2 linked regions of the Nothobranchius furzeri genome follow. The protein of the gene in region 2 purifies or fractionates together with the protein of the main gene of each other region. This does not show direct contact. Links are inferred from orthologs where the notes say so. Each region holds a gene or a part of one and is shown on either strand. Other genes may lie near its edges. The genes, in order: cdk19 and med12.

Region 1 (11,710 bases), on a different chromosome or scaffold from region 2:
GGCCGTGACAAAAATGTCTGCGGCACCCTCACTGCACACTTGGTTACCGAGTCCTCGCTCGCTTGACTGCTAGACTTTTGGCATGCTGGAGGCAGGGCCTGTGGCTGATCTGCTCTGTCTTCTGATTGGTCAGTAACGTCCTCTCCCTAACCCCTCCCTCAAGGGCCCATTGGGTTCCTCTTGGACCACATGGGTGATTGACCTTGTCTGTACATTTTTGTTCAGTGAATGAAACTGGTTGTGTGGAAAATGTAAACAAATAAGAAGTTAAAGACGTAGCATGCTAAGGAATAGCACTGTTAGTACTTTGGTGTAACGTTATCAGTTCGATCTTTGTTTTGGTGCAAATTGTTCATAAAGCTGCAACAAAGCTAAACAAATGCTAAGTCTACCATTGTGTCTCAGTTCAGGGTCTGCATCCTTCGAAGGGTTAAATATATTCAACATTGTTTTGTTTAACTGTGTGTGGGGAAAATTCCAACAACGTTAGGAAAAAATCAGTTTAATCAAATGAAAATAAAATGGTTCTAGCATTTAATATTTCCTAGTTCCTACTGCATGAGTTCAGATGCATTAATTCATGCACTTAAATATTAATGTTCTGATTTTACTGAAAAACTTGTTCTGTAACAGTTTCTTTACTATTGTGATCAAACATATTTAATCTCAGTTCTGAGGCTGCTCTGTAAATAGTTTTCAGATAAACAATACACACATAGCAACTTCTGATCAATCCATATCAATTTCAGATTTAAAATAATGTATTGATGTAAACAACACCCACTAATTTCCAAATAATAAATAAGAGGTGCATTCATCTGTGTGTCTCCTTTGATCCGCATTAGTGATGTTTCCAGCACCAGAACAATGAAGCAAAGAAACAAGATTCCTGAGTTTATGTTAGTAATTTTATTTATTAGGTGCATCTGACCTGTTCTAGTTTTCTCTGAAATGAGATAAGACCAGTGCTTCTATGGGTCGTCTCCTCTCTGCACTAAGACTTACTCCATGCTGTTTCAGCGATGAAACAGCTCGTCGGAGACGCCGCTGCTTCCCGGTTTTGAACTGGGCTCGCGCCTTGGGACTACAAGCTTTTCTTCTTTATCCTGCAAGCATCAAGATAATCTCTGATGGTGATCATCTGCTTTTTACAGACCCAGTGGCTGCTGAAAGTCACCTGGACTCTTTGGGTTGAGATGCCCTGAGAGGTTTTGGGTGTACGAGCACCTGCGGAGGGCGGACTTGTGACTTTCCTCTTTCTTTTATTATTCTAATTCTGGCTCTTCCGCAGAGTAGGTAATTCCTTTTTGTTTTTGCTTCTCCTCTTGTTCGGTGAAATCAAATTTCGTCTAAGGTCAAATTATCCTTACTTTATTCTTATTTACTTATATTGATAAAATCCAGCCACCTTGTTGAGTTATGGCAATCTTTATTAGTTTAGGTGGCTGTGCTTTGAGCAGGTTGCAGGCCATGGGCTCAGATCTGAGACTTTCTGGACTATGAGTGATAACTCATTTAATTTCCGTGTAATTTTATTATATTTTGTTCTTTTTTTTCTGTTTATTTTTGTTTTAGATTTTCTTCTGTATCTGCCTGCTGTGAGGGTTATTTTTGTACCTCGTTTTTCTTGTTATGGGTAAAGGTTTACACATAATCCATCTCAATATAAGAAGCTTATTTCCTAAAACTGATTTATTAAAAGCATGGCTTGGTTATAATGAACCAAAAATAATTACGTTGTCTGAGACATGGTTGAATGATAACATTTCTGACAATGATATTTCTCTTGACAACTTTGTTTTATATAGAATGGATAGAGGGACAAGGGGTGGCGGGGTTGCCACTTATGTCTCCTCTAGTCTGCAGTCTCAGGTTATTGTCCCGACAGTCAAACCACTTCACTTCGAAGCCATCTTTACTAAAATTTCTTTTAATGGAAATAAGCACATTATAATTGGCAACATCTATCGCCCCCCCTCCTCCCCTAGACTTGAAGCAATACAAAATTTACTAGCAACGGTTGATTCGTTGGGGGACTCAATGGAATTGATCTTACTTGGCGACTTCAATCTTAACTGGCTTGATGAATCTACTCTTCCAGAACGTATTCTTTTAAATAGCTCAAATCTGACACAGCTGGTCTCAGAGCCAACTAGGACTTGTGCCACAAACTCTTCTCTCATTGACTGGATATTAGTAACTCACCCAGACAGATTTTCTGATTATGGCATTTTGCCCAACTGTTTTAGTGATCATTCTGTTATTTTTTGCTTCTGGAAAATATCTTTACCACATACACCAGCTAAGATGATCAGACTTCGTGACTTGCATACTTTTAATACTGATCAGTATTTACAGGAGCTGCATTCTCTTAATTGGAATAGATTGTTTCTTATACCTGATGTTAATGATGCTTGGGCATTTTTCCACTCTCAGTTCATGCAGGTTCTTGATAAACATGCTCCTTGGGTCAGTGTAAAAATTAAGGGCAGCCATTTGCCTTGGATTTCTCATGATTTAATTGCTTTATTTAAGAAGCGCGACAAAGCGTGGAAAGTAGCAAAACTTAGCAATCTGCATGAGCATTGGACAGTTTATAGAAAACTAAGGAACTTCTGTACTACCCAGACTAGGAATGCTAAAGCTAATTTTTATAAGAATGCTTTGCATAAGGATATCAATAACCCTAAGCGCTTCTGGGATAAAATTAAAGACCTGAGGGGGAAAACTAATGTTAAAATCTCACATCTGAATGTTAATGGGAGTCTTATTAATGACCCGGCTGAAATTGCTGAAGCATTCAGTAAGCACTTTGCTTCCTCTCCTCTCCCTGCCTCTGCAGAACATCATGGGTCTTACACCCTGCCTCACTGTTGCTCCAGTGGATTTTCTTTTTCTGAAATTCGTTCTGAGGAAGTGCGTAAAGTTATACTGTCTCTCTCTAGTGGGAATGCTGCAGGTCCAGATGGCATTGAGAGTCGCTTTGTTAGGATAGCTGCTGATGTTCTAGCCTTACCATTATCTATTCTTTTTAATCATTCAATTAACTCATGTTCTGTTCCAAAAGCTTGGAAATGTACTAAAATAATACCACTGCATAAAGGAAATGATACATCTGAACCTAATAACTATAGACCCATTGCTATAATTAATACAGTTGTTAAAGTATTTGAAAAACTGGTTTTTATCCAACTATCTAAATACTTAGAGGATAACAACCTACTATCACAGTACCAATCGGGGTTCAGAAAAAACTTCTCGACAACTACTGCACTGCTCAAATTTTCTAATGACATCTATTCTGGTTTTGACAATAATTTATTTGGTGGTGCGATTTTTCTTGATTTAACAAAAGCCTTTGACCTCGTCAATCACTATCTACTTTTAGATAAATTATATGCTTTTGGTCTGTCAAGGCCGTCTCTACTGTGGTTTAGTTCTTTTCTTCATCATCGTTCTCAATTTGTTTCCTTTAATGGTTCTGAATCAAACATGCGTGGTGTCATCAGAGGTGTTCCCCAAGGCTCCTCACTTGGGCCATTATTATTTTCAATTTTTATTAATGATTTACCACAGTGCTGCAGATCCTGTTCTGTTCAGTTATATGCAGATGACACAGTCTTATACTGTTCTAAGTCGAGTTAATCCGAATTACAAGAAGCTATTCAGCCTAATTTTGACAAGGTGCAGCTCTGGCTAATGCAGAACAAACTTCTTTTAAATAAATCTAAGACTTACTCCATGCTGTTTCACAGAAGTAGAACTCTATCTGACAGTGACAGGACTCTTAATCTTTATTTTTTGGATTCCTCCCCGGTTCAACCGTCTGTTAAAATGAAATATTTAGGAGTTTGGCTAGAGCCAGAGCTGTCTTTTAAATTTCACATTCACACAACATGTCTTAAGGTCACACGGTGTTTACGTATCCTTTATAACTCAATAAATTGCTTTGAACCTATTGTTCGAAAGTGCATCGTCACTCAGCTTCTGTTACCGATCATTGATTATTCTGATATTTTATACCAAAACTCAACAGTTTCTAGCCTGCGGTCTCTTGATGTCGTCTATAACAGTTTGTGTCGTTTTATTTTGCGGTGTTCATTTAACACTCATCATTGTTATATGTATGATCTTCTTGGTTGGCTTCCTTTAAAAGCTAGACGACAATTTCATTGGTTGATATTTATGTTTAAGTGCATTTATTTTGATTTTCCACTTTATCTAAAAACACTTTTGGTTCCCATTGATTCCTTGTATTCAACCCGCTTAACTACTCTTCCATCATTTGTTGTTCCTCGTTTTAAAAAGGAGGTGGGTAGACTCGCCTTTTGTGTTAAAGCTCCTCAGGACTGGAATAAATTACCCGCTGAATTAAGATCCATCTCAACAATTCGTAAATTTTCCCGCACTGTTTATGCTTATGTAAAGCCAAGCTGTAGTTGCTTTGTTTAATCTTTACTATGATGATTTTGTGCATTCAATGGCTAACATGCTGTATTTCGTTGCCAAACTTTGTATTCAATTGGGATACTACTTCACTTTAGATTTATTTATAATGTAATTTCTTGCCCTTATTTCTCTTTTAGTGCCTCACAGCAGTTTTATTTAATTTAATTTGGTATATAGGTATGTATGTACGTATGTACACTTGTTGGTATCTATGTATCCTTGCTTATGTGTTTATATTTACGTGTGTATATATATACATTTATACATATCGTTGATTTTACTATTATTTACTTTCCCCTTTTTTTTTTTTATTTCTGTTACAACTTTCTAACTCTGCCACCTTATTTGTTATTGGTTGTGTTGTAGGAGGACCTGCTCGAAAACGAGATGTTACATCTCAAGCAGTTTATCCTCCTGAAAAAACATAAGTTAAATAAATAAATAAATAAATAAATAATGTTCTGATTTTACTGAAAAACTTGTTCTGTAACAGTTTCTTTACTATTGTGATCAAACATATTTAATCTCAGTTCTGAGGCTGCTCTGTAAATAGTTTTCAGATAAACAATACACACATAGCAACTTCTGATCAATCCATATCAATTTCAGATTTAAAATAATGTATTGATGTAAACAACACCCACTAATTTCCAAATAATAAATAAGAGGTGCATTCATCTGTGTGTCTCCTTTGATCCGCATTAGTGATGTTTCCAGCACCAGAACAATGAAGCAAAGAAACAAGATTCCTGAGTTTACGTTAGTAATTTTATTTATTAGGTGCATCTGACCTGTTCTAGTTTTCTCTGAAATGAGATCAGACCAGTGCTTCTATGGGTTGTCTCCTCTCTGCACTAGAAACATGTACTTTATTATAATGTTCACTGTAATGCATCTTGATGTTCTCAACAAATAAATTAAATCAAAGATATTGGTCAATAATGCCAAATATGTAAATTTGTGTTTCAGTCATTTTTATACTGGCTTAAAAATACTTCATTAAGTCTACTAAGCAGGGGTGTAGAAGGTGTTTAATAGGGCCAGCCCAGTAATGGTCTTGGACCAAAATAAAGGGGGCAGAAGGAGATGTTTTTCCAGACGAAAAATTAAATGCCACCCCCCCTCCCCCTGCAAAGTGTGTCACTGAGAGTTTAAAACTAAAATTATTCTTGTGCAAATATTGGTGTATTCACCTTTAATACTAGTTATTAAAATGCAGCAGTTGCTGGATTGGTGCAGTTCAGAGTGGAGGGCATCAAATAAAACAATATTAACATAAAGGTGAGACGTGTTATCCCCCCCCCCCCCCACCAGCTGGAAATGATATTTTGCTTTTATGCAGATCGGAGTAGAGCTTTGGCACACGAACATTCACCGGGACTGATAACAGAGCAGGTCCCTCAGCGGCCGGGCCAGCAGACAGGGACACACAGGTCCTGTCCCAGGGACAGAAGCCACAGGGACACAACCTGTCTACGGTCAAACCGGAGGAATCCCGCCGTTTTGTAAGCAGGGACACCGCGGTCCGGTGAACAGACACAGAGCTAACGTCAGAACACAAACATCTCTGGTGAAACGTGTTGGGACAGGAGCGCGGCTAGAGGTGTGTGTGTGTGTGTGTGTGTGTGTGTGTGTGTGTGTGTGTGTGTGTGTGTGTGTGTGTGTGTGTGTGTGTGTGTGTGTGTGTGTGTGTGTGTGTGTGTGTGTGTGTGTGTGTGTGTGTGTGTGTGTGTGTGTGTGTGTGTGTGTTAGATGAAAACAAAAACACAGACACACTCTGGAAGGTTCGGTCTGCCGCCCGTCCAACACCAGCGCGGCCCGTGTGAACCCAAACGCACCGTGAGACCGGCAGGGCGAACGGAACCGGACCTCGGTGGTCTTACCTGTCTTTGCGCTTAGCTTTATAAACGTGTCCGTAGGTGCCTCGACCCACTTTGCAACCTTCATATTCGAACAGATCTTCTACTCTCTCCCGCTCGGCTGCCAGCTTTGTTTTGAAGTCGTAATCCATGTTAACCCATAAAGACGACTTAAATTACAACAAAATAAAATATTAATTATTACACGCATTAATTAAATAATCTGCTCGTTTTATTCCCCCACCATTTCCTTGTTTGGGATTTTGGTCTGCTCCGCTGTGTTCACTGGATCGTTGACGCTTCTAATTGGGGCGCAGTGCTTGCTGGGTAATGGAGTCTTCTGAGCTCTCGTCGCGACTCACTAGCTGTGAAACTAGAATGAGAAAAACTACAACCCGCGTTTCCCGCTCCCTACGGGTCCGCATGAGTGCTCGGCTCGCTAGTGGTCCAGACTTCTGTGTTGGACGCTTTTGTTCCCGAGGTGAGCGGTTCAACAACATAGCCTGTGATCATATCTCCAGGTCATTTTTAGAACATACATTTTGGAAACACACTGCTGCTGTCCCAGACCACGTTGTCTTTTGGGGGATATAAATAACTATTTTTAATTATTTTGTCCAAGCTATGAAAACCAAATAACTCACAATAACAGCATTTAACGATGCAAACACGTGTGTTAACATTATATGAAGTTAATTCGCTTTCTGTCCTGTTTACACGGTCCTACCACGTTTATTTTCTTGTGGCAATAAAATGGCACGTGAGGAAAATCAGTCTCCAGTGCGATTGGAAGGTTCCTCAACAAATCACAATGGACAACCTCTACTCATACAAGCGGATTGGTCAATCCACTGTGACGTAAGTCTTGAGGCTATAAAAGAGCTGTCCGCGGCTCGTTCGGTGCTTACACAGTATGGCCGGCGATATTAGCTAGCGCTCGCTAACTGTATTCTCTGCAAAAGGGAACGCGGTAACTTAAGAAAATTAACATCAGAATTACTTTAATGACTGTACCTCAATAAATTATAGTCAATCGAGAAAGGATTTATTAACATACAAACGTTGCGAACAACGTTTACACCTTTTTGTTGGGCGTCTGTTGTCTCATGATGGAGGAAAACGGTGCACATTTCTTCGAAGGGACCGAGAAGCTGTTGGAGGTGTGGTTCTCTCGGCAGGATGAGACCAAGGGGACCGGGGACCTCCGCACCATCCCAAGGTTTGAGTCCTACTGGGTTGAGTTCATGTCTTTCCGTGCATGCGAGCGTAATTTCGCGGTAACAGCGGCTGAGTCCATCATGGCTTCGCGGTTTAGTGTTAAATAACCAAATAAGCGTTCAGAAATGTTGTTTTCCTGTTGGTTTCCCCTCAGCAGCTTAGCGAACCTGTCTGTGGCCTAGCCGTCACCCACCAATCTGGCTAGCAACGTGAGCGAAAATGGCCTCCTCCCCTTTTAAAGTGTGGCTCTGTTGAGCTGAGTCATTCATTCTGAGGCTGTGGGCTGTGACCAGTACAGCGATCGTGCTGCTGCTGGACCCGTCAGCTACAACCGGGCAGCAGGCTGGCCTGCACACGGCTGCTTCGGGAACAGAAGGTAGAAACCCTCTGTTCTGTCTCGCTGGACGGTCCCGGGTGCGGTTTGTAAGTGTTGTATTAGCTTAGCTGTAGAAGTGGGGTGGGCTTGGAGTGTTTTGTTAGCGGGACCGATGGTGAGGCCCAGTTTCTCGTGATGCGGTTCTCTGGGTTTAATACGACAGACACGATGGAAATTCTGCTGATCTCCGGAGAATGCAGCGATTTTACTCTGCGCCACTCCGCTGGGGGTCTGAGGAGCATGTGGCCCCCGCCCGGCTGCCGCAGCCACCGGAGGCGCCAGATAACGGATCCGGTTATAATGAGGGAAACAGGTGGGTGTCCGGAGGAAAACGGAACTAAAGACTGATCCGGTTCGCTTCTTGGGAACACAAACAGGGTCCCATGACGGTCCAGACACCTTTATCCATTTTGTTAGTGCCGACCCAAAGTTCTGCTGTTGGAGGGAGCCCGGTCACATTTCTGATTACATGGGAAGTCCCCTCCCATCGCCTCTGATTGGTTGAGGGCTCCACCTATCAGATGGGTCGGAACCTCCTGCTGCCTTCACACACACACAGGAGAATGGGAAGGGAGGGTTGAAAATGTTCGTGACCTTTGCCCCCAAATCTGTCTGACACGTGCCTCGGAGGATTGTAGAAATCTGAGTAAAATTATCATTAGTGCTGTTTTACTTCCAAGTGACGATTTTAACAATGGAGTGTACCATTCAGAGTCCCAGCAGCGCCTGGCCGTCCCTTCTCCGGACTAAAAGTGTCCTGCACAAACCTCTAACCCTGGTGGGTTTTTATAGAAGCTGAACAACTGTTCAGATCATTAGCTAATAAAGATAAATGGTGGCGTGGCCGTTAGGGTGAGTGGTGGTGACTGGCATTGATTTACGGCCAGAGGGCAGATTACCAGCATACACGGGGACTGTGAGTGCATTGGGTCTGCTGGATGTCAGCCAGTGTCCAAATAAGTCCACAAGGGCATCTGATTCACAGAATGTGACGCTAGCTCAGATTACGAGGTCCCTGGGCTCTCCGTTCGACTGCAGTGGTGGTGCTGGCAAATGCTTTAAAACGTGCTCTCAGCCATTTTTGTTTAGTTTTAGTTTAAGTCTTTTCACTAAAGTTCAAAAGAAACTTCTTATTTTAGTTGACTAAAATATATGTATTTTTCTTTAATGCAATAATTTTCAACTTGTGTAAAGGAAATGGAAACCGCACCTAGTTGACAGTGTAGAGAAAAGGAAAAGTACACAATTCACATCAGTAAATCTCTAGTTATAAATGTTTTAATAACATTATTGGAAAATACCCAAATGAACACTGACTGATTGAATTTGTGCCTCTCAGTAGTAATATGGTAAACACGCGTGTATAATGTGCAGTAATATTTGTAAACATGACAGAATGACATCATCTGTTGTGTGAGGTGGGCAGAGTGAAATCAGGCTGGGGCGGCACAACATTAGCTGGAGGCGGTCGCCATGCTAATTTGAATGCAGGAAACATCCTGAGTTAAGAGTTTGTAAGGCGTGGGTTACGGCGACAGTAGCACGACAATAATACTGATAAAAGAGCAACCAGAGACTGAGTCATTACAGTATAATCGCTGATATGAGCCAACAGTTAGACTCCAGCCATGTTTGCCCTGATAACTAATAACTCTACGGTGCATGACCCATGTGACCTTCAGTAGATGCAATGACATCATCATACATTTAGTTTAACATGACAGATTTATTTTCTCTGGGCAAGAAATAAACGATATCGGCCACCTCTAGATGGAATTTAAATATTTTTACATTAATTATGAATATATAATTAAAAAGTACCTGTGGGACATTTGATACACCTCTAGCTCAAGTAAGTGTGTGTGTGTGTGTGTGTGTGTGTGTGTGTGTGTGTGTGTGTGTGTGTGTTAGCAGACAGCTGTACCAGCGTTTCTAAAGCTCAGACTGGTAGAGAATAGGCACTAAGGTTAAAGTTTGACAAGAATCAAAACATTTTTATGCATTTAATCTACTGATTTATGTATAATTTCTCCAGACAGCTTGAAGTGAGTTAACTTGTAAATATTTTACAGGAGGAAAAATATCGAGATATATATCGGAATTCAGCAAAAAGATATCGAGCTATAAGTTTTGGTCCATATCGCCCAGCCCTAGGTTTATGTAAATTGTGCCAGTCAGGATTGAGCCATGGTTGCTCATGTAGTAGGTGTAAACTATTGAATAAAATGTTGAGCTGCATGACTGGCTTTATACTCACGTGTAGCTTTAGGACCTGCTAATTTACAAGTGGATGTCATCTCCAGGTGTATTATGGCTAAAACTCATCAGCCGTTCACAATCATATTTAGGGCCGTGTTGAAAGAACCAATTATCCAATTCTGATAAATCTGATCCCTCGTGAAAAGGGGTGTAACGGTTCACTGGGGTTGAACCGCTTTGGCTCGGCCTTTTTGGTTCAGTCCACTTGCATACGTTTCAGTTAATTTTTTCCGTTAAATGATGAATTTGTATTTGCGTGATTTAAGTGCAGCAGATAAAAATTCCTAGCTGAGTTTCTGGACGAACGCTGTATTGAGTGACCCATGATGGCTGCACGCGCCCAATCTCTGCTACAGAAATACAGCGCGGAGGAAGCTCCTTATTTTATACGAGAAGAAGAAACTCGGTGGTGTGAGGTGAGTTTTTAAGGCTAAAACAGGAGCACCAACAGTCAAACTCAACACGTGTCTGTATGCGCGTGACACTCATAGCTGCACTAATAACCTGTGAAATAATTAAAGACATCATAGATCAGCAGCCTGTGATGACACCTGCTTCTGCTCACTTTAGGAGCCGCTTCAGATATTATATAAATATAATAATATACCAAAAATTAATCAAACCAAGCTCTTCAAAACACTGAACCGAATATGATTTTAGCGTACCATTACGCCACAATTATTGAACAAAGGTACGTTGCTTGTGTGAGGAAGATGTGTCTTTTATTGGTGCACAATGCTAATCTAGGTGCTAGTGTTTGTGCCGAGCATCCATCATCAGTTGAGTCTGTAGCAGAAAGAGCAGAGGACAACTCGGCACATTACCGTACATAATAAATATAATCAAAGCTGCAAGCAGCGTCATTCGGCGCCACGTTGGCCTAGTGTCGCAACCACCCTGTGACCTTGGACACTGCGAATGGTCACTTCATCTGCACCTCACTCTGACTCAGCATGTCCTCTGAGCCTGCCATGAAATTATGTATTTAACCACTAGGGGATGCTCTATTTTTACCACACGTGGGTTAATCAGTGAACCACGAATAAGCCCAGAAAATGTGTTGTATATCCGATTATGCATCAAGGACATATAGCTGGTTGGAAAATCAGACTCCGATGGGAACTGAAGTGAGACCAGCAACAGGTCAGTGTGCTGTGACGCTCCTGCTTGCTTCTGTCTGCTAAATTGTCTAGTAAAATAAAGAAATGTCAGTGTAATTATTTAGTTCAATGTAAGAAAACTAAATGGTTTTTTTATTAAAACCATGGCCTCCAGAATGCGCTTATAGGCATGCAATCGCAAGCAGCGCTATGTAATTCATGCCAGACGGTCCGCTGCGCAACAAGTTCTGAATCTGGTGGACATTTTAGCTGTCATCCCGCTCTCTCTTTACTTTCTGTTCATAAATGTAACGAGTGTGGGGCTTTAGTTAGGCGTCAGAATTATATTAAGAGCAGTAGACGGAAAAGCGTTTTTTATAGGGATGCACCGATACCGACACTGGTATGTGTATCGGTGCAGATACCAGTATCGGGAAAAGTTAACAGAT
Region 2 (11,175 bases):
CATGAACGATCGCGTGTTAAATTAGTTTTTGAGGTGGCGACACCTGATTGTTACTGTGGCCGTGCTCAGGAGGCAGATCTACCGACCGCGAAAACAGCGGAGCGCTCCCTGCTTGGAGGCCGCATCAGTGATCTGTGCGTCGGAGGACAAGGTGAAGCGCCCCGCTCCACAGCAGCGATACACATCAAGCGCAAATAAAAGACAGAAAACATTAAAGGAAATGAACCGACATGAACGATCGCGTGTCAGTACCTACGGTCTGGCACAGCGCGTTGCCCCCCCCCCCCCCCCCCCCCCCCCCCCGAGCGCAGGAGCTTGTCACCTGCTGACAGCAGGCTGCTGTCTTTTCCGAGGGCTGCACCTTGCCGGTCATTATCACGTGACAGCGACAGGCATAAAAAGTCACTATAGTGAAGTTGACTAGTTCATACACCCCCTACTGCTGCTCTCCAGAGTGTTCTGCAGCATAATCAGCACGTTCTCTTTGAACTTGATAGTGTAATGACCTGGCTGGGGTTGTAAGCCAGGTGCATTCTGGGTATTGTGTTATATGTGTTTCCTATCGTTCTGCTAGTTCCTATGTGCTGATTTGCGTGTTGTGTGAGTGTTATGTAAGCCACAGGGAAGGTGATGTGTGTTCTGTGGAGCGGGTTGAATTAGCATGGTTAACTGACACCGTGACTCTGTGTGGTAGGAGCGTGATAGAGGATCGTGTCTGTAGCGTTACAAAGCGTTGAAGAAAAAGCCTAATAAAGGTCTGTGTGAACCTCTATTGGCTCCTGCTGGTTGATTTGGGGACTATAACCCTGCCGCTGGGATGCTTGTACTTGCTTGTTACCACATTCCACCCGGCCACAATAAGAGACCGGCCATTATTCACCTCCGCTGACTCCGACACCGGCCAAAATTGGAGACCCGGCCTTTAATTGAATACCGGCCTGTATTAGAGGATTTACGGTAATAACGTAAATTCAGCTTTAATAATTTTCATTCTATACAAAATCTGCTGATTTTAGAAGCATTAATGTCAGTATATCGGTATTGGCAAATATCGGTTATTGGCCATAACAGTGATCTTAATATCGGATATCGGTACATCACTAAATTTTTGTTTTTATTTTGAACTAAGAAAAACTAATTAGAACTGGACTTTTATGGATTATACTGGACAATTAAGTTTTTTTATTGAATAAATAAATGTCCAACCATTAGGGTCATTTAAAATTCTACTATATTTTGCAGACCAGAGGACAACTAAAGGCTTTTATGAGTCATACTTACCATGGGCTGCTGAGGGGGCAGTGGCTGCATGTTCAGACCCTGGTTCTGTGTTTGACCTGGAGGAGCCACGGCTGAAACCTGCTGCTGCTGTTGCTGCTGCTGCTGTGAAACCTGCTGCTGAGGAGGAACCTGCTGTTGCTGAACCTGCTGCTGCTGCTGCTGTTGCTGCTGAGCTTGAGCCTGCTGCTGCTGCAGAAGGACAAAAGTATTACAGCAAGAGAAACTAACTTCAGTAAAGTTATGTCTAAATTCATCGGCTTCTCACTCTAATGCCCTTCAGAGCCCCCACTGAAAAAAAGGTAAAGCTTCCAAAGAACGTCTCAGTTCACTGAATGCACCAGCTTGCTTCTCTAAGGTTTTAAGGTTTATTTTCTCTTTTTCAGTTCTTTGAAATGTAGTGATAATGTATACGTAACAGAAAAAAGTTAGCCTTTCAGATGAAGCAAAGTTTTCCTTGTCACTGCTTTTTCTTTTTGTTATTAAAACGACAACAACCTTAGCCTAGAAATGTAGAGAGACCGTAGCAGGAGCAAAAGTCTCTGCAGGTCAGTCTAGCCACACTCCACTAGGTCCTCAGCAGGCCTGAGCAGTCTCGCAAGGGCTGCCAAGTTTTCCATGCATGAGAAGGGTATGGGGTGCCTCGTGTCACCTCACTCCGCTGCACCACAGTTGGATGTTGGACATTTGACAGATATACACTCATAGTTCACCACAGTTAGCCGGAGATTTTCATGCCGTGTGCTGCACCAGAGAGAGACAGCGGTCAGCTGTGTTCCGGGGACTTGCTCATGAAAGCGGTGGTCCGCTTAGGGACCGTCAACAGTTTCTAGTCTTAATTAAATTATTGAAAATCAATTCCATGTTGTCTTACTGAACTAGACCAACGAGGCACAATAGTTAGAAACATATTTCATACAATCTGACCTTTTTTTTATAAGTAAAACTTTTTTGTCAATAGCTTACAGGTAAATTGATTAAAATACTCCAACCTAATTCCCAACGGTGTTACTAAGCTAGACCAATCCCACAACAACAGCCTTTAACACATTTCATACAGTCCTGTACATTTTTTATAGATTTTTATGAAAAATTAAGTGATTTTCTTCAAAAACCTCCAGGTAAATTAAAACATTACTCAAAACTAATTAAGTATTTTTTACTTTGCTAAACCAATGAGACACAACAGTTTTTAACATGTTTAATTGAAAGAGATCCTTTTTATTAATGTTTTTATGGCGATTTCTGTATTTTGCTTCAATAGTGAGCCTAAGTCACGCCCATCTTCTTCCGGACCATGGGTCCCCGGAAGAACGAAAAATTGACTGCAAGTCAGTGGGACTAAATTTGTTATTTTCTAATGGAGGCAAAAGTTATTTTAGGTTTTGTGTGAAAATACATCCAGGACTACAAATGCACATCGCCAATTGACGTAATCAAATCAGACATGGAGAAATGATGAGGAAAAGTGGCTGTAAAATCAGCCAACTTCAAATCCTTCCATCAGGAGGAAAGAACCACCATGAAACTGGCCATTTGGTCAGTAGAAGCTACGCTAGGGGAGAGGAGATTCTATGGTGACATCATATATGTGACTTGCCGATGTCTGATTTGTAGTCATTGTAATTACAAATTGCTTTTCATTTAAATTGAAGTACAACAGAAGACGTGCTGGAACCAGACAGCAGCGCCAGCTCAATTTTTTTCTTAGTTCCAACAGGGCGGCCAGACAAGCTGAAATTGCATGTGGAATATGCTGGCCACAGGAGGCGATAGGGCCTGGGTGGCCTTTCATTAATCCTGTAAAGGTTCGTTTCAACACATACTGGCTCAAGAAAATCATTTAAAAATATGAAAGAGTAGCAAAGTATTCCTTTAAAAGTATCATGTTTCTTATTTAATCTGGATCCTTATCTAAGGCCAGGGTGCCTTTATGCTCCTGTTCATTAAAGGTGCATGAAGAAAGAATGACATTCAGTGGTCAAATGTGGGTACTGCAGTCTGTATTAAAACAAATGAGTCTGCTCTGAGCAAACATTTCCAGTTACAACTCAGCACCAGAAGAGTCTTGATGACGAGCAAAGACGAGTCATACACAGTAAACTGATGAGTAAATTAATTTCACTGTAGTATCGAGTTTTTGCTAATTGAAAAAAGTAGCTTTAGATATTTTTACATCCGACTGTGTCCTTTTAATTCACTGTTGGCATTGTTAGCTCAGCTTTAGCCATTAGCCTTCTTTATCCTATTGAAGCAAAAAGATGCCGAGGCTTCTTAGGGGTACAAGAAATAACTTCTGGGCTGCTTCCTTTAATGGCCAACATACCTTCCACAACTCTGGAGCGTTTTGTCAGCCAGTGTTGAATTACAAAAGCCAGTGCTGCAGTGTCAGATCAGCACAGAATTGGCAACCCCACAGGCTCAAAGAATGTGAAAAGTGACTGTGTCCGTTTTTGACCATTGTGAAAGGAGAAAAACTGACAACCGCCCAGCCGGCTGAGAAGGAAATTTGTTTCAGTGTAACTTTCCTTTCAACATCATTGAGACATTAGACGGGTTTGTTATTTTTTTCACTATAAATTTCTTACTTCTTGTACCTTTAAGCTCTTACTTTAAATCAGAGTTGAGTAGACTTGCTTATCTACATTGTTTTATTGTTTTATTTTGGTGTATTTGGCAACACCTTAACCCATACACTTACAACACAATGCATATTTTAAGCCCTACTTAAATGTTGAGTACTTGTAATTTTTTTCTTTAAAGTACATTTGAAAATGTATACTTTAACACTACTTCTTGAATACTTCAATTTTTCCTTAGGTCATTTGCACCCCCTTATCTGTACTTTTACTTAAGTAAAACCATCAAGTATTTCTTCCACTACTGGTCCAAACAAAACCAAGACCAAAATGGATCACTGCCATCTTAAATCCAAAAATGTCACAGTGGTGTATGTAAATGATATTTCATCTAGTTGGATAGATTCCTTTTTACTACAACATCCATAATTCAGGTATTGGCAGCAACAACTAGCTGTACTGGTTCTGGTACAGCAGGGGGCACTTCCAGCAGGAGCATCATATTTCTGCCAGAAACAGAAAGTGTAAGGTTTAAAAATGTTCCAATTTTAAGGCTAGAGTTTTTTCAAGAAGGCTAAATCTGCTTAGAAAGTTAGGCTGCTCAGACCACGTCAAGCTCAGAAACTTTAATTTCCAGGCCTTGTAATCATACTCTATCCTTTTATTATTAAGAATAAACTAAACCAAGCTAAAACCTGTGTAAACCAGTGATCAGTCTCTTACTCGGAGTGCTACTTGTCTGTTGTAATGTTGCTGTTGCTGCGCTGCTTGTTGCTGCTGCTGTTGCTGCTGCTGATCTGCCAGCATCGGATTGTGCCTCAAGCCAGAATACACTCCCTGGGGTCCTGTTTGGCTGAGACCCTGCATGACAGGATTCGACTGGTGGGTTTGAGGAAACCTGAAGTTTACAACCCCCCCCCCCCAAAAAAAATGAACAGGAGCAAAATTAGTAAAGATAAAGACTTAGCTTTAAATTTAAAAAAGTAAAAACACAAGACTAAGCAGCTGCTGTCCTACAAAGCTGACCTTGGTGTTGTTGGCATCTGCACGTAGGGGCCTGGAGCCTGCTGGAGAACATATCCATTAGGCCTCGGCTGCATTTGCCTGTGAGGATCCACCACGGCGGGGTTTGGTCCAGGATGGGTGCTCTGGAAGTTCTGGTTCCCATAGGGGGAGGAGGAAAGGATTCCACCACTCATGCCCACGTGGGGTCCATATGAGGTATAGCTCTGAGACTGGATTGGAACAAGGTTGGTAATCAATTGAAATGTTGATTTCTCAGCTTAGTTATGTGGTCAACACTTGAAGATGTCTTAAGCCGGGTGTACACTGTGCGACTTTTTCACTTTTTTGAGCCGATTTTCCAGTCGTGCGAGAATCCACGACATCGGGGCGAGTTTTGCGCCGAGCGGTCGTGTAGTGTACAGGGGGTTACGAGAGGCGATTAACACCACGTGACCAGCTACCGATCAGCAGTCGTGAGGTCGCACGGACTTCTGGCGTGTTTAATATTTTGCTCGTCCCTCGTGAGGGTATCGCACTGTTGAAGCAGCGCTGCGAGCAGCTGCGACCCAAAAAGTATCAGAACCGCTCACGGCGCATGCGCAATCATGCATCAACGCCGCTCGCTATTTCCCTAATAACACACGCTGTTCGTTTTTGTTTCTACACGTTTTTTTACTCACAAAGATTGTCAAGAAAGCGTGTTTGTCGTGTTCATGTCAAATTAAACTGATCACAAAACACAGATTTACTTTCTTTATTTCGTTTTCCTAATCCAACCCCCATAAATCCCTGTGTGTCCTCCTGCAGCACTCCCGAAGGACAACAGGCAAAACAAGACAAAAAAGTCTGACGTGTTGAGTAAAAACGGCTATTTTTAGCATATTTTTAGGGCCGACGTGTTGCTACCAGACGTACAGTGTGAGCAGTCAGGTCGCATCCGAGAACTGGGTCGTGCAGTGTGAGCAGATGACTCGTGAGATCTGCCCTGCGAGGAAGTCGTACAGTTTGAGCTGAAGCTGAGTGCTACGAGTGAAAAAGTCGCACAGTGTCCGCCCGGCTTTAGACTAAAACGCACCCACCTGTGAGGCTTGCATTGCCGTGTATGGTTGGTTAGGAGCCATTTGCCTCATGGGCTGTCCATGAGCTTGGCTTTGCTAAGAAAAGTGATTGTAACATTAGTTCGAGTAACAAGAGGATATAAACATCAGACGGGATTATTTGATCGGGTAGGAACAGGCACAACTCACCAGTCTGTACATTAACTGCTGCCGTGGGTTCTGGCTCTGAGCCATGCTAGGTGGGGGCTTGTAGGGCATTTGGTATGGCTTGTCAATTCCAACCAAACCAGCCATGTTGGGTGGATAGCTGGGTCGAGTGGGTATCATTTTGTTTATCATGTTACGCGGAGGTCTGTACGGAGGCTCCAACCCTGGACCTCCTGATGGAAAGGCACAGGAACGTAAAACCAAGACTGGGTTTTGCTTAGTCTCCAAAACTAGGCCTTTGATGATGCTGTGGGCTTACCTGGAGGCAGGGGTTGGTTCTGTGCCAACATGCCCATGGGCTGTGGGTTGTAGGGTGTTCTGCCATATGGGTGGCTCTGCATTAACTCTGGGGCAATGTTTGGCATGTAGTTCACACCTCCTGTTGCACGATTCCCATAATCCTGTCAAAGAAAAGCCAGTTAACTCCCTAATTCTAAATTAAAACATGCCTGTTGGACACGAAGCTACTCAGACCTCTGTTTTGGTAGAGGAAGACTTCTTCTTTTTGCTAGGCTTCTTCTTGTTCGACTCTGGAGGAACAGCTGGCACATTCTTCTCTGCTTTCACCGTCTCCATCATCTTCTTCTCTGGCTCCTGAGGGACAGGCGTCAAGGGTTCCTCTTCCTCAGGGGGCAGAGGGAGAGGCTCCAGGTAATAGCTGCGAGGTTTGGGCTTCAGGTGGGTGTGGTAGAGCAGGAAACGCTGCTGCTCCTCAAATTTAGTGATCTTCCGGTCCACACGTACAGTTCCAAACCAGCCCCAGGAGAGAGGGGCTGAGTGTTTCAGACCCTCAAACACATCCCAAGGAGAAATCTTCTGTTTGGTTGATACTTGAAGGCCCTGATGAACCAAATTACACATTTTAATCAATAACAAAAGCCTAAAAGACCTGAAATATTGAACATTAGAAAATTTAAATGACCAGTGTTTCAAAAACAAATGAAGCTGTAGAAGCAGTGATGATTAGCCTAACAGTTGCTTTTGATCATTATGACAAAAACAATGTCTTTGCACTGTCCTCTATTTGTCTCAGAACCACCAAATCTCCAAGTTCTAGCATTCATAAGAACCTAACCCAAAGCCATTGTCGATCGTCATGTTGAACGAGGAGTAAAGTGTGTCTACCTCCTTCTCAAAGCCGGCGATCTTGTTGCCCTTTGTGTCTATTAGTGAGCCTTGGGGTTCACAGGTGATGACATCACGGGTTTGTTTCGGTAGCGGCAGAAGCTGGCGAACCTTCTCCAAACTTTCTGACTGTCGATCTCCAAGCTCCTTCTGTACGAGTAAGAACAAACGGAGCAACAATTACAAAATCGTACAACCTCAAATGTCAAAGATTTTACCTTAGTCAGAACCACTTTTAACCCTTCGAGCTGGAGCGTCCCCTAATTCTGGGACAAACAGGTGAAGCAGCAAAAGGCCTAGAGCCCAAAGTCATTAGATCATCAGCAGCCATATTGTTTGGCTATTTTACTGTCTGGAAACATATTCTTGAATAGTCCGAATTACCACGCATTCTAATATTACGCAGTAAAACTCAAAAGTTGCTCTTGCTTTCCTTATATAATATATGCTCATACAAGCTGACAGCTTAACAGCTTAATTGCACTGAATTATTTAGATACTTAATAAAAATTAATAAAAAAAATGTTAATGTCTTTAATAGTAATGATTTATTTTGTATATTGCCGATTGAACGCTGCAGAGTGGTTGGAGAAACGGGTTTCAACTCACTCACTCACTTACACACACAAACACACACACACAGGGTACGAAATTAAATTTTTTACTCACCGGCCAAGCGGCATATTTTTTACCGACCAAAATTCTAAATGATTTAGATCTACCTAAAGCATGTTACTCTATATTATGTTGATTCCAGACAGAGTGACAAAATAATTAAAACATCAATTAATAAGAAAAACAACTCTTTTGTCATTTTTACTATTTATTTATTTTTAGAGATGTTTTTATGAACTCTTTCATTGAAATCTAGTCAGACTCCTTGTTTTCTCTGTCCATGAAGTCTGGCCTCCTGCTTCTGACACCGTCTTTGTGCCAAAGCATTACAGCCTCATTTGGGTCCTAGTCCTTGATCTCTGGAGAACACAGCTGCACCATGAGAATATCTGAAAGTGTGTCAGGGCTAGGGTTGTCACGGTAACGGGTGTAGCAGTAAACCCCGGTAAAAAAGTTGACAATAATAATAACCGTCTTGTTTTAAAAAAAAAAAAATCTCGGTGGATTACCGTGGCTGTGGTGTAGGCGCGGTGACCCTTACCAGCCACCGTATCATCTGCTGAAGTAGCCGGCGGCACATGCGCACTTTGTTGTTTACAACCAAAACTTTCTTGAAGCTAAAGCTGAAATAATGGCCAAAGGAGATGGCAGCACTTGGGACATTTATTATCCTTCAAAGAAGAAAAAGTCAGAAGTACGGGCATTTCTTGGATATTTGAAGAATGCCGAGGGACACACACTTGACCTTTTTAAACCCCAGGACAGCAGCAAGTGGGAACTGGAGGATGGAGAGAGGCAGCGGGCAGGACACAGGATGAAGACGGGGGGAGGGTTACGCTATAGGTTAGGCAGAATTGTTTTTTTCTGCTTTTCTACAATGACTGGCCTAAACTTCTTCACCATGTGCTGAGTCGTGTACCACACATGCTTTTTTGCTACAGAACTCACGTGTCCACAGCTTTTTGCGTAGTTTAGAGGGGTGAGTCATACCAAGGTAATTAGATGCCAAACTGCATAACTGCCAAGCAAAGTGTGTACAGGTTGGCAGGTCTGAAACTAGAATAAAAGCCCCTTGATTATTGCCGTAGCTCAACTACACACTTGCACACTCTTTCAGCCCCCCCCCCCCCCCCACACACACACACACACACACACACACACACAGGTCCTACCCTGAGCTTCTTCACCAGGTTCATGTAAGCTCTCTTGTTCTCCTCCATGCTGCCCTGGGAGATGCTGGACATGTCAGCAGCCAGCGTGCCATTTATTAGCACACTTAACATGTCCAACACCGTTGTGAACAGCTCACTGCAGAAAAGAGACGGAGATGAGCACCAGACAGGCACATTACTGACAGTGACTTTGGAAACTCCCTGTAGGCAACACTCACTTGTTGGACTGCATATCCACCGTGCCGCTGCTGATGATGTCGAGGAGAAGAACTGCCCATTCAGTGGTCTGCTGGGTGCTCCGCTGCACCGTATCAAACATGCCTCCAACCTTAGCAAGAAAACAAAAACGCTTCATGAAATCTTTTATTCTAAGAACTCAAATCCAGACCAAAGTCGGTTCTGTGTGATAAGGTGCACATGAAACTAGAAACTTGTGCAATTATTTTGAATCAGAATAAACAAAATCTTGTTAAGATGTTGTGTTATACAGCTATCTATGCTTTTGAAAGACGCTCACAAGATTCAGACGTAGTTTCAGAGCCTCGTGCATCATTTGCTTGGCCTTGCAGTCATCCTGGTACTGATCTTCTCTCCAGTTTGTGACAATCTGCTGCACTTGACTGTAGAGGGAGGTAAGAAGGCCTTCCCTCTGTTCATCCTGGCCCTTCAAGCAGGTCAGCACCAAAGACAGGAACGGCTGCTGGCTCAGCAGAGACATACTGCGGGAGCAGAAACACACGATTGTTCCAAAACTACCAAGATTCCAGGGAAAAGACTCAGCTGCCACGTACCTTTTCTGTTTCTGCCTGTCCCTCTCTTTGCGAGAGGAGGAGCCGAGGTGCTGTCCCTTTTCCAGTTCCTCTCCGGCTGCTTTCAGGACATGGCCCTGGACCGATGTGGGCAGCTTGGCTATCAATGGGGCCACCAGCCAGACGCCTGATCGCTCTGAGGAGCTGGATATCAGTGAAAACAAAGATCTTAGCTTCATTCAACCCAAAATGTAGATTAAAGACAGATCCCATTATCAGTGCAGAGTTGAAATCCGCACCTTAAAATAGGTTTCATCTTGCTCGTGGTGCTGTTGCTATTGGATGCAGAGCCAGCCTGGGCTGCCGCTCCATTTCCTGAGGGGTTACTGGAGTTCATCTCAGCTGATTTCTGGAAAACCTCTATAGTGGCTTTAGCTATGTTCTCCAGGAGAGAGTAGAGCTCCTAAATATAAAATAAACACATTTATGTCGCCAGTAACAACTATAAATTCACCATTTTCTGTTACTGGGACAACAGGAAGGAGTTAGACTCACATTGTTTGTGCTCTGTTTGATCATCAGCTGCAGCTCCAGAGACGACTGCCTCATCGTCCACTGGTCCATATTCTGCCACAGAGAGAAAGTGAAAAATGATTTAGTAGGTGGCTGAAAAACATGAAATAATACACTTAGCCAGAAAAGGGCAGGAAAACCCCACGGTTTCATTTGGAAGGAAAAAAAAAACCAAAGCAGCAGATCAAAGGGGTTGATAAATAATGAACTTTATTCCTATAATTGTACAATATTTAATCACAAACAAAAGTAAAGAATTAGATTTTGCTGACAGAACTTGATGCGAGTGTTTTGTACCTGGAGGATGCGTTTGATGCGCTGCCTCTGAGGGTTGTCACCGTCATCGCTGTCCAGCTGGCGGTGAGGATAACAGATGAGCTGCAGGAGCCGCTGGGCCTGTATGTTTACCAGCACCGGGTCCTGCAGAGCGCTGCTGTCCTCAGAGAGGGACTTCAGGCAGCGTTCTCCAACCCACTCCTGCAACACAACAAGATGAGCAGTTGGGGACAGCAGGTAAAAACTTGCATCATCCTCAAGTTTCAGACTCGGTCAAGCAGAACTAGCTTGACTAAAGCTGCAATGGGTGGAGACAAAAGAGGAGGGGAGTAAAAGGCTAATTATAGAGAATAAAAGCTATAATGAGTAAAAAAAACGAGTAAATTCTCATTAAGCCTCAGGACATGTAGAAAACCTCAAAATCCACTTCTAGTTTGTTCAGCAGCACTGACGCATGTGTGCAGTGATTATTCTCACATCTGATAGGTTAGGAGCAACATCAAATGATTTCAGGATAATGAAACTAAGACTTTTTATT

The links.
Region 1: the proteins of med12 (region 2) and cdk19 purify together in Homo sapiens (affinity purification with mass spectrometry; 10 studies listed by BioGRID and IntAct, counting the BioPlex papers as one, with this or other methods). This does not show direct contact. The link is inferred for Nothobranchius furzeri from reciprocal best matches to the Homo sapiens genes MED12 and CDK19.

What each region holds. Positions count from the first base shown.
Region 1 is NC_091742.1:28,592,670-28,604,379, forward strand, and holds the start of cdk19 (cyclin-dependent kinase 19), read right to left. Parts: upstream 6,663-11,710; 5' UTR 6,556-6,662; coding exon 6,553-6,555; intron 6,479-6,552; coding exon 6,333-6,478; intron 1-6,332. Other genes in the region: amd1 (S-adenosylmethionine decarboxylase proenzyme), read left to right, coding at 7,415-7,527.
Region 2 is NC_091741.1:82,322,404-82,333,578, reverse strand, and holds part of med12 (mediator of RNA polymerase II transcription subunit 12), read right to left. Parts: intron 10,839-11,175; coding exon 10,659-10,838; intron 10,416-10,658; coding exon 10,344-10,415; intron 10,252-10,343; coding exon 10,088-10,251; intron 9,993-10,087; coding exon 9,831-9,992; intron 9,759-9,830; coding exon 9,557-9,758; intron 9,368-9,556; coding exon 9,258-9,367; intron 9,176-9,257; coding exon 9,040-9,175; intron 7,403-9,039; coding exon 7,253-7,402; intron 6,968-7,252; coding exon 6,602-6,967; intron 6,529-6,601; coding exon 6,387-6,528; intron 6,301-6,386; coding exon 6,110-6,300; intron 6,017-6,109; coding exon 5,942-6,016; intron 5,093-5,941; coding exon 4,884-5,092; intron 4,756-4,883; coding exon 4,581-4,755; intron 1,471-4,580; coding exon 1,282-1,470; intron 1-1,281. UniProt on the Homo sapiens protein: Component of the Mediator complex, a coactivator involved in the regulated transcription of nearly all RNA polymerase II-dependent genes.